Oreochromis niloticus: one gene and its partner. The protein of the gene in region 2 purifies or fractionates together with the protein of the main gene of each other region. This does not show direct contact. Links are inferred from orthologs where the notes say so. Each region holds a gene or a part of one and is shown on either strand. Other genes may lie near its edges.

Region 1 (7,353 bases), on a different chromosome or scaffold from region 2:
GTTCGATGTTATCATGTAAGGTGTCTTACTAATCCTTATTTGTGTGCAGTTCTAACTTAATATAATCATAGAATAACAGTTTCGAACATCATCTCCTTTTGCTTAGCTCCAACTGTGTAGTGAATCTTTCTCCAGACAAGAGGATGGTACTGACTGAAGCTTACAAAGTACTTAAGGTACACTGCTTCTCATTTTTTTAATATTGTTATTAAATCTTCAATCATAAAGCTATGAGAGCAAAGAAAATATTTACACATTTACATACACTTTCTCATTTTTCCTCATTAGGATGGTGGTGAGCTGTACTTCAGTGACATTTACAGCAATGGAAGACTAACAGAGGAAATTAAAAATCACAAAGTGTTATGGGGTGCGTCTAATTAATATTCTACTGCCATAAATTGACAAGCACCCACCAGAATATCACAGTCGGTTTTATCTTTGCAGGTGAGTGCCTTGCTGGAGCACTCTGGTGGAAGGATCTCCTGCAATTGGCTGAAAAAGTGGGCTTCAGCCCCCCACGGCTGGTTACGGCCAGTGTCATCACTGTTGACAACAAGGAACTGCAGGACATTCTTGGTTTGACAGCTTTTTTACTTGCTTGACTTTTGCATTATTTGCTTGATACAGAATTACACTCAACAGCCACTTTGTTAGGTACATCTGTTCAGCTGCTTTTTAATGCAAATATCTAGTCAGCAAATCACATGAACACAGCTCGGTGCACATAGGCATGTCGACATGGTCATGATGACCTGCTGAAGTTCAAACCAAGTATCAGAATGGGGGGAAAAAGGTCATTTAGGTAACTTTGAATGTGGCGTGGTTGTTAGTGCCAGATAAGCTGGTATGATTATTTCAGAAATTGCTGATCTACTGGGATTTTCCCAAACAGCCATCTTTGGAGTTTACAGAGCTCCGGAAATGAGTAAATATCCAGTGACATTCATGTCAGTTGTACACACAGGCACAATCGACATGAATGATGCTATCAGAGAATCCTTTTGCACAACTACTTAAAGAAGAACATTTTATAGATTAACCCTACAAATAAACAGTACTAAGTTAGCCTGCACTATAATGTCACTGCTGGTTTTCTCCTAACCTATATTTATGTAGCTATAGTTACAACTAATGTAACATTACATGATTCCAAGTTATTTTAGATTTTGAGAGCTGCTAACCTTCGTGTATGACCTGAAATTTATTTATTTATTTTTTAATTTCAATCTGGTGTGTTTAATACAGGCAACTTCAAGTTTGTTTCTGCCACATACCGCTTGTTTAAGGTCCCCAAAGGGAACACCAAGAACTGCAAAGTCATATATAATGGGGGCATGACAGGGGCAGAGGATAGTTTCCAGTTTGACTGTCAGTACACCTTCAAGGTCTGTATATTCTGAATTAGAAGAACGTAATGCTTTCTGCTCACTTAAACTATGCAAATGATTTCAGATTTGGATGTATTTTGTAGGCCAATGAAGTTGTGGAGGTGGATGGAGAGGTGGCCAACATACTGACACATTCCAGATTTGCAGAGGACTTCACTTTTCAGCCACTGGGGGGCCCCACTGGGCCCTGTGGAGTCAAACCTAAGGTCAGTGTTGTGTTTAAATTCTTGGATGTCTCTTTTACACATTAGGGGTCAGTGTGTTTCTGGTATCAATTTGTGTGACACGCCCAGAGGGCAGAGCGCCTCTGTCAAACTGCGCTCACAAACACACATGCATGTGCTTCTGCATGCTGTACATTCTTGGACGTTCACGTACCCCTCAAACATACATACACACATGCACAAGCGCAAGGTCAAGCAGCTGTCTTGGACTCATAACCAGACTGTGGAGTCATGCTGGGGAACCTTGAACAAGAAGGAATGTTCTACACTCAGCTAATAGAATACCATTTTATCAGGGCTTACAATCATTTTATGCACATACACCTCTAACAGCACCGCTTTACATTTTTTTTAAAATGAGTACTCTAACTTGTTAACCACTCATTAAAGATTTTTTCTCTTCTGATATTGGAAATAGAAGTAAATTAAAATGGTAAAGGCTTATCAAAATCCACCTCATTATTAACATTTTGAACTGCCCCCTGAATTGAAGTCTTGTCTGAAAGAGTTTTCTCTAATCACTACAGCAGTGTGCTGATAATAGTAATAAAAAAGCCTTTGGTCTTATTCATGGAAAGAACAGCTGCTTTGAAATTGTGACTTAATGAACAACCAGCAACTGATAAAAGAAGCACAGGGCCATAAAAAGACTTCATCTAGAAGAGCCAGTGTTCTGTTGTAATATACCATAATAGTACCTGGATTTACTTCTTCAATTTTTTGACCTTGCTTACAGTGATTTGGGATGAAACACAAATATTACATGATACATACATGTAACTGGGTGCTTGTTCTTTTAATGCTTCTGCTTGGCTCAATTATTCATACAGGCTGGCATTGAGGACCCTTTTGAGCTGGCCCTGATGTTGGGTGTGCAAGGCCCTGCATCAGCCACTGGGGGATGCTGCAGCACACAGTCTGCTGGCTGCTGCAAGTGATGGTGGGAAGAGCACAAAGAAACAGGCTCAGCTTCCTGCCTACCAATAATGCCTACATGTTTGGTGAACTTCCATTAATTAATTCATTTTAATTAAACATAATCATGTTACTGGTTGATACTGGTTGCTCAAACAACTTCACCTACCCAGTGTATAATGGAGACAACTCAGCTAATCCAGTTTTAGTTTCACTTTGGAACACCCTGCATTGCAATTACACAAAGCCATCATTTGCTTCACATACTGCATGACTATGTGAAGGACATGAGTTCTGCTGATGACTTTAAAATGTTTTATTGTGTAATCAAAGTGTTTGTATTTGAAGTTGCTTAAAGTGCATATGAGCCAATTTAAGGAGCCAGCATATGATTCAGGGCCATAGGAAAAAAAATCTCACATCAAACAATTTTAGTTTGACTTTGTGTCTTATCAGATTGTGGTGGTTCATGTTGGTATCTGCTGCTAACCATTAGTGAGGTGATTGTTAAATTGCACCAACTATTTTTTTTTTTAATGTTTTTAAATTAAGGTTAGGGTGGTTTATTTTGCCATAATGTCAAAAAAAGAGTTAAAATTGGAGAGATATGCTCCCTGCTTCCAGTTTTCACTGGTACTATACAATGGTTTTGACTGAGCTGTTGTTGAATCAAGGGTGATTAGAAGCCACATAACATTTTTGAAGTCTGACACTGGCCCACAGGCCACATGTTGAGTACCTAGGCTATAAATTATCTTGCGCAAACAAGATAACAATATCACTTTGAGGGATTTAAGGGTTCTGCAAGTGCTCCCAGTTAATATTTTATGAAAGGATTCAATATGGTAACAATTCATTAACATAATTATATGGTATAGATAAAAGGAAAACTTTATAGTAAGGTTAAATAAAAATGCAACAAATTTAAAACCTTTTAACAACCATGAGCAGTATTAAGAAGAGCACCTTCTTCATTTGTGCCTCATTTTGTCATATGCCTACTTAGTCTAATTATTTTCTTACCCATAAAACTGACATTGTTTATTCACACAATACTTTTTACTTACCTTAAAACCTGTGTTTTAGTAAATCGGTGCTTAATTATTTTGCAGACTGGCTTTAAGATGTGCTTCAACCAAAGTGTACAAATTATCTCCCGTTATTGTGATGGTTATGTGTTATTTCTGATAAAACACAATAAATAATAATTAACGAAATGACTCTTCTATTTTCATCTTTGCTCCTATGATGTAGTGCATTATTTCCAAAGGTACAAATGCACATTTGTATTTGGGAAAAGCTGTGATTAAGGGCACCAGTTCAAGCCATGGTGGTCAGGATCTCTCATTTTAGTTTCATTTTAAGTTTAAAGGAGGAAAAGATAAATAGGCCAATAAGAAGTAATTGTGTTAAAGAAATTGTTTTTTGTATTACACATCTCAATGACGTACATGTATGTGTGTGTTTTCTGGTTTTGACAACTTTAACCTCTTTAAGTTAGGCAGTCTATGAACATATTACTATCCCCTGTAATACCTATCATTAAAATAAGACATGATATAGATAGTGCTTCGGAGTTTCAGCATGCAGGATGATGCAATGCGATAGCAAAAAACCAAATTAACTTGTCACAACCTATGATAGTCTCTATATAGATAAAACATGTTGTAGTATTTATTTTAGTTAACCTTTAATCTTTGCACATGCCTTTTTTTGACATTTAAACTGCTTATTGTGGTTGTCTTTTCTAGCATGATATGTTTTAAGAAGTCACGAGTAAAGTCCTGTCTCCTAACATGAGGTGCACTTGTTTTGGAATTTGATTCGCCAAGGAGGCTGCGGACGCCCCGCCTCCCGGCCAGCGGAACCTCCCGATTGGTCGTCGCCGTCGCCTGTATCGGGGACACCAGGGGAGGCACGAGTTGGCCCGTAAGCCTGCGCTCGCGAGTCATCAGTGTCGGACACGTAGTGGGAACGAGCAGGTCCTGATGCACAAGTCACGGCAACCCTGGGCGGAGATGAAGGCGGACTCCGACTGGCTCTGATTTTTAAAAGCCCTTTTCATTCAGGAGGTTGGTTGCCAGTTGTTATCAATATGGCAGAACCGTTATCCCAAGCACCCACCGCTGCAAAAATGGCGTCACTTAACCGGGTCCGAGCTTTGGCGATGATTTTCTTAACTGTCACTGGCTGCTGTGTCACCCCGACAAGTGGCAAGGAAGGGTCCGAGGAGACCGTCATCATAGGGCTCCGACTGGAGGACACGGACGACATTTCCTTCATGGATAAGGGCTACCTGCGGGTGAGTGAGCGCTCTCGGGTAAAATTAAGAGTGTACGGGCAGAACATCAACAACGAGACCTGGTCCAAAATTGCTTTCACGGAACATGAGCGGAGCCGGGCGGTTGGGAGCATTGACAGCTCCTCGGGGGATAACCAGAGCCAGGAGGACTCGTCCGGCTTGCATCCCTGTGGTTTTAGGACTTCGGATATAATGATATTGCCCTACATCATCCTGAATCGAAAGACATCCGGTATAGTTGAAATTGAGGTCAAACCTCTGCGAAAGACGGAGAGGAGTAAAACGTATTACCTTTGCATCGCCACCTCGACACCAGCCGTGGCCGGGATGCACGACCCGCGGACGGAGAACACCTGGATCTACCACGATGGGGATGACACCAAAGTGATAGTGGTGGAGGAGAAAAAGTTTCTGCTGCCTTTCTGGCTCCAGGTCATCTTCATCTCCATGTTGCTTTGCCTGTCCGGTATGTTCAGCGGGCTGAACCTGGGGCTCATGGCTCTGGACCCCATGGAGCTCCAGATAGTCCAGAACTGCGGCACGGAAAGGGAGAAGAATTACGCCAAAAAAATAGAGCCGGTCAGGAGCCAAGGGAATTATTTGCTGTGCTCTCTTCTGCTCGGGAACGTGTTAGTGAACACCACGCTAACCATCTTGCTGGATGATATCGCCGGTTCGGGCTTGATTGCTGTTGTCATGTCCACCATCGGTATAGTCATTTTTGGGGAAATCGTGCCACAGGCCATCTGCTCCAGGCACGGCCTCGCTGTGGGAGCCAACACCATATTCCTCACCAAGTTCTTCATGCTGCTTACCTTCCCTGCGTCCTACCCAGTCAGTAAGCTGTTGGACTACCTGCTCGGACAGGAGATAGGAACCGTGTACAACAGAGAGAAGCTTCTGGAGATGCTGCGCGTTACGGACCCCTACAACGATCTGGTGAAAGAGGAGCTGAACATCATCCAGGGCGCGCTGGAGCTCAGGACTAAGACTGTAGAGGACGTGATGACGCCGCTGAGGGATTGCTTCATGATTCCTGGGGATGCAACGCTGGACTTCAATACCATGTCCGAGATCATGAAGAGCGGCTACACGCGCATCCCCGTTTTCGAGGGCGAGAGGTCCAATATAGTGGATCTGCTCTTCGTCAAGGACCTGGCCTTCGTGGACCCGGATGATTGCACTCCGCTCAAAACCATCACAAAGTTTTACAGCCACCCGTTGCATTTTGTGTTCAATGACACCAAGCTTGACGCAATGCTGGAGGAGTTTAAAAAAGGTAAGAGTTTTGCATCAACCTTTGACACCTGGAATGTGTTAAAGGTTGATGTCTGTTCTAGGCTGGTCTTTCACATGACCACCCTCTTTGTTGGATAAGGCAAGGTAGATACATGAGTTATGTAATAGTTTATGATGCAAGGAGTCACAGTTTTGACCTTTCAACACTGAGTGCATGTGGTGTATCTATAGGTCAAATGTCTAAAATCAGATATTGAGCAATAAAAAGAAGGAATTCCTCAATAAATTTCTTGTACTGGAGGGAAAAGAGATGGGGGAGGATAGCAGCAAAGGTTCTTTTCCCCTCAGACAACACTGAATCTGCCACAGGTGTAGTTGCCAGATCTTCACAGGTCACTTCCTGTAAAGCGGAGAAGCAGGTGTCCTTATCATTCTCCATCACTTCCATTAAGTGTTAATGTTCACACTCTCTCTCTCCTCCTGCTTTTCCTCCTCATGCCTTGCCCTCCTCCTATTCAACCTTTTTCACACTTTCCCCTTCCTTTCATCTCTCCCTCTCTCTCATTTGTAAATGCATTAGGACATGTGGGAATAGTGCAACGGCAGTGCTGAGGTTATCAGGTGGGGGCATCTTGTTTGAGAACCTGCTTAAATCCCTGTCTGCCTCTCATGCGCTTGCTTCAGAGTGATGGTGGCGATAACTCTTTTTTTTTTGTCCAATCCTGGAATGCAGTCGTGTGGATAATGAATAACAGCCTCTAACACCCTCAAGCCCCCCATGTGCTGTGTGTATTTGTATGCGCATGGTGTTTGAGAAAGATGTTTACCTCACCCACGGTTTATCTGATGTTTTGCATAGCCAACCCCCTAACTGTTGTTGCTTCTGACTAAGTTATTCCTGGAAAGTGTTTGTAGATTTGGTGCTGGACTGGACTGATGCATACACAGACACACCTGTCAGCAGCTGATTTACGAACTCTTAAAACTGTGGGGAAAAAAACATGACTGTTGTGCGCTTATTAGAATATTTGCTTTATTTTAAGAGGATTAATTGGGAGGAAAAACAGAACAAATCAGCAAGCTCCATTACCAGAAATTAGGTGTAGTTCCTCTGCCAAATTAGCATTACATAATATACTATTTGGGGAGGGGGGTGTTTGTTTATTTATTTTCATCACAGCTGACTAGTCACGGACATGCACCAGTTTTCCGAGTAAACAGAGAAAGTTCACCATCCTGTTATATTATCAGAATACTAAGATCAGCAAATATTTGCAATTTC
Region 2 (7,971 bases):
GGGCTGGGCAAGTTGGGTGAGAAAGGTCCTATAGGTCCCCAGGGTCCTCCAGGGAAACAAGGCCCCCCTGGACTTAATGGCATACCTGGGCCCCCTGGGCCTCCAGGACCCCCTGGGCCTCCAGGAAATGGCCATACAGTTGTCGCAGGGCCAGAGAGTTCAAAGTTAGATGGGGGAGAAATTCCAGATGACAGGAAAGGCCCTGCATATAGTCAAGTTCCATTGTCTGCCTCTGTGGCACCAGCCTTCACAGCTGTCCTTACCACACCATTCCCTCCTTCAGGCATGCCAATCAAATTTGACAGGACCCTCTACAATGGGCAAAATGCCTACAGCTCTTCTACTGGCATATTCACTGCTCCTTTATCTGGTATATACTACTTTGCATACCACATGCATGTAAAGGGAACTAGCCTGTGGGTAGCATTGTATAAGAACAATGTACCAGCCACTTACACATATGATGAATACAAGAAAGGCTACATGGACCAGGCATCTGGTAGTGCAGTCTTAGAGCTGAAGGAGGGTGACCAGGTATGGGTCCAGATGCCGTCAGATCAGGCAAATGGCCTATATTCTACAGAGTACATCCATTCTTCCTTCTCAGGATTCTTGCTCTGTCCCACATAACCCTATCTTTTCCTTAAAAGATGTTGCTACATTGGCACCTCAGTGCAGCCCTTAACCTAAAATACCTGCAGCCATTATAGAAACACAAAACCCATAAAATACTCAATATTATTGCCATAGTCTTTATCTGTCTCGCCCTCAACAGCACAAATGAAACAAAAACTTTGTGAATGAAGTGAGTTTTTAAAGGCAGGGGAAGGAAATTCATACTGTGTTCTTTATTTCAGTGTCCTTCAAATGTGTGTTTTAGTTGTGTTTTATGTTGGTGTTTTTTTAAGCTTTTAGCTTATTTTAATTATTATATTGTCATAATTTTATTGTTATTATTTGGTCCATGTCATCATTGTTGTTGTTGTTTATTGGATTCAGACTATTTAGTGCCTTACTTTGTAATGTGCTAGAAACCTTCCCGTGTGACTGCACAACCTGCCCACATGCTCTGACACAAGGACGACATCACCAAACTCTGATGGGGGGGGGCGGGGGTCTTCGCTGCAGTCATGTTCCCCTGGTGTATTATTTAAATCATGAATTGCTATAATTATACTGAAGAGCCAAAATACAACACAATAAATATAGGCATACAGTACAATAGCAAAACTAAGTATTTGGTCTGCTGTGTTACTATTTACTTTTACTGAAATTTTTGGGACTCTAAATTGTTGCTACATAAAAAAAAAGTTAGGATTGAACTCAGCAACAGTTGGTTTTAGAGTGAGATATATTTATTGATAGTGAACATAAGCACCTGTTCAGGGAGTTTCTCTGCTTCATTATGCATTTAGTAACCTACCATTTCAGATAATAGGTCTTCCTCTTTCTTGTAATTTAGTTTACGTGCAGTTCAGAACAATTAATTCTACAAATAAACATGACCTCACATTAACAAGGCAGACACCTTTAAATTGCCCTTTAAAGAGATCAGCATCATCAAGCAAGACCCCCGCATCACCCCCCAGCATCATTCTTTAGGACATTGTTAATAATGTACACAGTCAGTGTTCACAGGCCAGAAACTAGATAGTGTCCTTACTGTCCATGGACAAATGGACAGTAAGGACACATATACTGCTGATTCAATGGCCTATTTCCTTCTATCGATCTGATTTTTTTTCCCATCACTATCCCAGGCATCCTGTTCACATATTCTAACCATCACGTCACTGATTTCTAATGTCATTAAAAACCCTTTCCCTGATTCCAAGGGAGCAATCTGCACTGCCATATTAGAAGAAAATATAATCCTTTAACAACATGATGCAAAATCCACAAAGATTTTGAAAGCCTGACTCTGCTGAGAAAACAAGGAGGCAAAAGGATAAGTAAAAAACAACAACAACTTAATTACTTCCTTCACTGCCAGTTCCTGTGTTGTTTATGATAGATGTTAGGCAAATGAGAGCAATTTTTAATCATTTGTAGCTCTGAATGACAGGATTTTCTAGTTATTTCTAAATCAAATGTGTCAAAAACTGTTTAATTGCTGAGCTTAGTGTAACATCTGTGGCCAGGATGTTTCAGAACTGGATAATGTCAAAGTGCACGGCTGGAAATGAGAATCAATTTGTCTTTAGTCCATAAATAGGTGAAAGGGTCTGACTGGGGCCTGAAGATTGAGAAATGCAGGTTGTGTAACATTTTAACAAAACCACGCCAGATTTCTGGGAGAGGTGGTAGGTCAGAGGTGTGTTTATTCATTTCTGTTGGATGAAGTATTAAAGATCCACTCTGTGCATGCGTGCACTTGTATGCTTAGTAGGTATACCCTTCAGCCCGTCACTGTGTCACTGCGTGCGTTTGTGTGTGCGGATTTGTCACAATGTCCCCTTGGCATTCAGGTCACGAAAACTTTAGCAAGGATAATAATAAACTAAAATTAAGTTACAAAACTGTAGGAACGGCTTACAGTCCCATCAATGTTCTACCAGAAGGTTTTGAGGTTTTTTTTAGTTTTAAAGAGAATCTTGTAGAAGATTTACTTTACAACACTCTAAAGATGAAAGGTGTAAAGGCGTGCAATAACTACTTTGTGCCAAGTCACGAACCAACAAAAAAAAAGAAAAAAGAAAGAAAAAAAAGACATACTATGAAATGTACAAAATGTTTATTCACTAGTTTCAGTTACGAATCACAAAAGATAACGAGACCTAGGCAAAACAGAACAAAGCTTGGTGCTTCTAACTTGTGCCACCCTGACGCTCGTAAACACTGAATTATGACTACCTTACATCATGATGGAAGAATGTCAATGTACACGAGCATGGTGCCAAACATTTAGCCTTCCCATTAGAATGAATGTATAATGTTTGACTGTTTTATGGTGGGTCACAGTGCATAAACAGTAACTCTTCACATCGCTTTGGAAAATTAGTGTGAGGATAAGGCTTAATCAGTATTTCTACATCTATGTAATGCACTTACTCTTAGCCCTTTCTGTCTCATAACATGAACACACCGACAACTGCTATGTATCATTGTTGCTATGTGAGTCTACAAAGCAGTCTCGTTATGTACTGTATGTTGCCTTTTATTTTTTTGAATCACCTCCTCTTTTTCGACACACGGTGAAACGGTGATGAGAGTTACATGCGGCTGTTACGCTCTGTCCTCATATTTTCATAGACAATGTCACTTGCTTGCTGAGTTTGCTCTGTGTGCAAATCATTTAACAAGTGTCAGTGAGATCCATGTACCGCATCAAATGTTTTGTTTTTCTTTATTAGAAAAAAAAGAAAAAAAAGAAAAAAAAATCACAAGCCTTGCTTCGGTTCTTAAGGGATATTTGTTTGTTTTAGTTTCAGTATACAAACGGCCATTCCCATTTGCACATGAAATTAATGAAGATGTATTTATACATTTATGATAATTTAATAGGGATGCCAAAACTGACCACCGAAGCCTGGGACATATAAATGGTATTTAACAGCATCGATGAGTTAAGAGCATTTACAACTTGTAGTTAGCATTCTAGAGTTGTTTGTGAAGGATTATTTGTATTATTTTCTATTTGTGTAATGTACAATGTATCAACGTATAGGTTTTTTTTTTTTTGTCTTACAAGGCTATTGTGTGCACTATGCAATAGAATTTGGGTATAAAATGCACTCCTTTTTGATTGAAAATGTTTGTCTGCTTATACAAAATCTACAGTACTTGATTGTATTGATACCACGTCAATAAAAACAAAGAAAAAAAATGCCTTGTATGCTGGCGTGAAACTTCATTGACTTTCTATTGTATGGTTATGTAACAAAGAAAATATATATTAACTGGAATACAGAGGCTACTGCTACATCTTTAAAAAAAATCAGTAACACTAGGTAAAAATTCAGTAGCTCGTGTGCAGAGCAATCTGTTGCATGTAAAAGAACTGACACTAGAGGGAGATATACAATTATAAACAGCGTTTCAGGCCTCAGACAGAAGGGTGATTGGATAGTAAGTTTAGGATTGAAAAGAGGAACAGGTAGGCTTTTCCTTTTCAGGTCAGCTCGCTGGATGTAGATGGAAGCAACATAAATCTTTGCATAAATATTTTGCATGTTGAATATATGGGTTATCACATAAGCAGAAGAGCATAAATGGATGGATAGATAACTACATTAAGTGCGGATAAACAAACATATGAATGAGCTGGATTTTAATGAAAACAACTAAACTAACTCTGATGCGTGACTGGAGGCGATTCAACAGTCTATACTTTCGAAACAAAACGGATCTTGTAGCCAATCCAAAATGTGCTTAGATAAGAAAGTAAAATCTATTTTTAAAAAACAGCCCATGAGTACAGGGATAATATGGTGCTATTACTTTCTGGAACTGTCGTCACCATGGTGAGCTGTCATCAGTCAACCGGATTCTTCTTACGTCGTACTGACGTCAGACCATCCATGCTGCATTCGAGAGATCCCGGTAATTCTGGCGCAGTGACCGCAGATACGACCTGATGCACATACTTGTGCTGTTATTGAGAGAGGTAATAGAATATATGAAAAGTTACCTACACTAAAGCAAAGTGAGGAACGATCTTAAAGCTAATCCCTTCAGATGTTGACATGCATGTCACTTGAAATTTATTCCAGTTTCCGCTTCCTGATAGTTAAATTGGTGTCAAGGAAACACTCAAACAAACAAGAAAAAAAAAATGCTAGGATGATCTGGGATACACGTGTCTGTCGTTTAAAGTTTTCCGAGGTTTACAGATTTCTCTGGTGGCCCTCATTTTGTTGACTATTAACTCGCACTGCCTGGTCTACATATTTCCGACGGTCCCTGAAGGTCTTGTACAAACTGAGGAGGAGGCTCCTCCCCGACAACAGTTCCCGACCTCCGACGAGATCTCAGGCTGCCACACTAAAGAGGAACAAAAAGGCGATCTGACAGCGCTTTCTGCACTCCCTCCACTTTCTCCGGGGTAGTCACGGGATTTCAATGTTCAGCTTGGTCTTTGTAAGTACTCAATGACGGATCTAAGCAAACCTCTGGGAACTTCTTTCTGCCTCGATTGTATGTAATTCTAGCGCTATAGATCCGTTAGAGCCCACTTAAAAGTTGAGTTCCATATGTTAGGTGATCGCCACACTGCCGGGCAGCCAAAGTAAGTTGCATGAGGGGTCGTCCGAGAAGAGTGTCCAGTATGTAGCCACGTTAATGGTAGCTCGCAGAGCAAAGCTTAAGACGGTTTAATCGTGTGCTACAATCAGTGTTGAAAATCCCGTTAAAGGTATGAATGTTCATTCTCACTGCCTCAGATATCTGTGATATCTACACTTGAGTTAATTACCTTTGTCTTGAGTGTTGCCGTGCTGCTGGTCTAAAAGATTGCTGCTAAAAGCAAAGTGCGTTAGCTATCCCGCTAGCTAACGTAGCTGCGCTAGCTTGCTATCGCGGCTATGGCTATTAACCAAAAGAAGAAAATCTCTGACTAGCATTAGGACTACTGACACGACTGTGTCGTGGCTTGTATTTTTCTTTTAGAACAGGATACGTTTAGTTGTATTCATAACGTGGTGTTTTCTAAACTGACCGTCGTTCGGAATACCACAAGTGCTAGCGCTACCTTAGCGCTATACGGTGCAAGGGTGTACAGGTTACCGTAGAATTTCTTCTGAACAACGTGTATCATATTGGCAATGAATACTTGTGTTAACGTTAACAATTGTCCTGGCTAGTAGTGCTAATGTTACGTGTATAAGATGCGTTAAGTTATTTGTAGTTGTGAAAAGCTGCGTGGTAACTAGATGGCGACTAAGCTAGCCAACTGCCTTCCGCCCTTTGTGACAAAATCTTGACCTGCAGTATAGTTGACCCATATGCTAAAGGCCAATTGCCAGGCTGACGGGTTGTTGTTGTTTTGTTTTTTTTAAACCGACAAACGATATGGCATGTCTGCTTATGTTTGTCGGCGCGGTTCCCTTTTGGACTGGACTGTCGTGCTCCTTGTCTTTATTGCTGGCTGTCTGGTTGGAGTCGGAAAATTTGCTCGGCTTCAACGAAAAAAGGAGAGAAAAAAATGGCCAACACTGGAGTTAGGTGGGTCTATAATTTAGCCTCGTCTGGTTTCCTAAAACAGAAAGCGCCCAGCCATTTAGCCATGTGGGTTGAAGTGAAATGAGGAAATGCACTTCGGGAGGAAGTTGCCTAGAGCAGCTGTGACACTAAAGGCCGCGGCACATTCCCATGCCTCTCAGTTTTCAATTTATGACCTTCCACTGATTTGAGGCTCCCCTCTGGTAGTAAATTCTAGTGGGCGGCTAATACACGCGAATAGCCATCCTACCAACAGGGCGGATGAGTCAATCAGTAACTGGTGTAACAGGTAAGCTAATTATATATTCCCGCTTATGAGTCACTGCAAGGTGACCTGGTTTGCCTGTTGAGAGGATGAGGTGAGTGATTGCGTTCAGGAAAACAAGCTAAGGGAATGTTGGCACACTACAACAGAAATAATAGAAAGTTGCAGTGAGTAATGTAATCGTACTATCAAATTGAGGTAATCAATAAGGTCTATACTCTTGCTTCATAAAAGGCTAGACTTTCACAACTTCAGTATTGTAGTGCTTTGGAGTTTTTAGACTCCACTGGCATTTTATTCTTTGTGGAAGTAGGTCATTTGAACAGATGACCCGCTTTATTTTGTAGCTAATTGACACATGATGCTCTGGCCAATCTAGAAATAGCAACTCTCACTCAATCTGCTTATATAGCACATCCCTCAGCTAAAGTCAGCCCTGTACTGCTGGGGTGGACACTCATTTTTGTGATCTGACTCTGCAAGGCAAACCTCTATTACCTGTAACTTTTAAGCCAAACTTGAATTATCCTTATTTGAGTTTTGCTATTTTCTCAGCCAAATCAAACTTGTTGTGTAAAGACTGAATACGCTGGTTGGTTGCAAATTTATGCCTACTAGGAGCATAGAAAAAGAAACTGCCCTGTGACAAGATGGGAAGTTCTCAGCCTTGGTTACCGTAACTGTGAAAGGTGAACCCAGTGTGCAGTAACTTGATATCAGCCTACAAAGGAGTGTTACTGGGGGAGAAGAACACCTATGTTGTAGCCTGCTGGCTTTCAGCCCATCAAGCCACGGGGGGGACTGAGTGTTGAAAGGTAGAGCAGAGGAGGCCATTCCATACTGACTGCTTTAACAGATTTTAAAATTTAGCTACTCTCCAGAGGTTTTTGGTTTTACAATGGGCTCGCTCCTGGCTTCAGTAGAAGTTGTTTTGAAATTGGTATAAAGTGGCAAGCTAAGATTAGTTGGCCACTGTTTGTGCTACCTCTTTTCAAAGCTATTAAGTGAAGCCCATATGTAGTTACGCATTAGTGGGCACCTTTTTGTGAGAGGCTCGTTTATTGCAAAGTGTGTGGATTAATGAATCATGCAGTGATCGGCACAGTGTTTACTGTTGTTGCCACAGTGTTGGGATAAAGCAAAGGCGCAGGCTCAGTGGCACTGGCAGCGTTTCACAGATTGACACCTCTCCTAGATTGCTGTTGCAGGGGTTCCCGCTGAAACTATAGCAACAGGTAGGAATAGGATCTTCCTTGTTTTTTGTGTTTACACCTGCCTTGTTTAGCTACAGCTGTCAGAGCTGCAGTTAACAGGGGAACACAGAGTTCTCTGCCAGAACATGCAATAGTAATATGTGTTATTGTTGTTTGAGCAGCTGCGTGTAGGTGCTTGCTTTCTCAGATTTTAGAAACAGTGCTATTTTTGAAGCATTGGTGGTCTAGACAACAAACCTTCTGTGTTTGCCCATTGCCTAGGTGTTTTTGTGTGTGTGTGTTTTTACTTGCACCCCCCACCCTGTGAGTGCTTCTCGCAACATGAGCGCAAAC

The links. The genes of interacting proteins can lie anywhere in the genome.
Region 1: the proteins of ptp4a2b (region 2) and cnnm2b purify together in Homo sapiens (affinity purification with mass spectrometry; 4 studies listed by BioGRID and IntAct, counting the BioPlex papers as one, with this or other methods). This does not show direct contact. The link is inferred for Oreochromis niloticus from reciprocal best matches to the Homo sapiens genes PTP4A2 and CNNM2.

What each region holds. Positions count from the first base shown.
Region 1 is NC_031971.2:33,163,123-33,170,475, forward strand, and holds the start of cnnm2b (metal transporter CNNM2), read left to right. Parts: upstream 1-4,281; 5' UTR 4,282-4,625; coding exon 4,626-6,111; intron 6,112-7,353. Other genes in the region: as3mt (arsenite methyltransferase), read left to right, coding at 1-15, 107-176, 289-370, 448-579, 1,249-1,388, 1,475-1,597, 2,446-2,553.
Region 2 is NC_031985.2:25,785,901-25,793,871, forward strand, and holds the start of ptp4a2b (protein tyrosine phosphatase type IVA 2), read left to right. Parts: upstream 1-4,921; 5' UTR 4,922-5,079; intron 5,080-5,222; exon of another isoform or gene 5,223-5,353; intron 5,354-6,299; exon of another isoform or gene 6,300-6,448; intron 6,449-6,499; exon of another isoform or gene 6,500-6,518; intron 6,519-7,581; exon of another isoform or gene 7,582-7,659; intron 7,660-7,971. Other genes in the region: col8a2 (collagen alpha-2(VIII) chain), read left to right, coding at 1-630.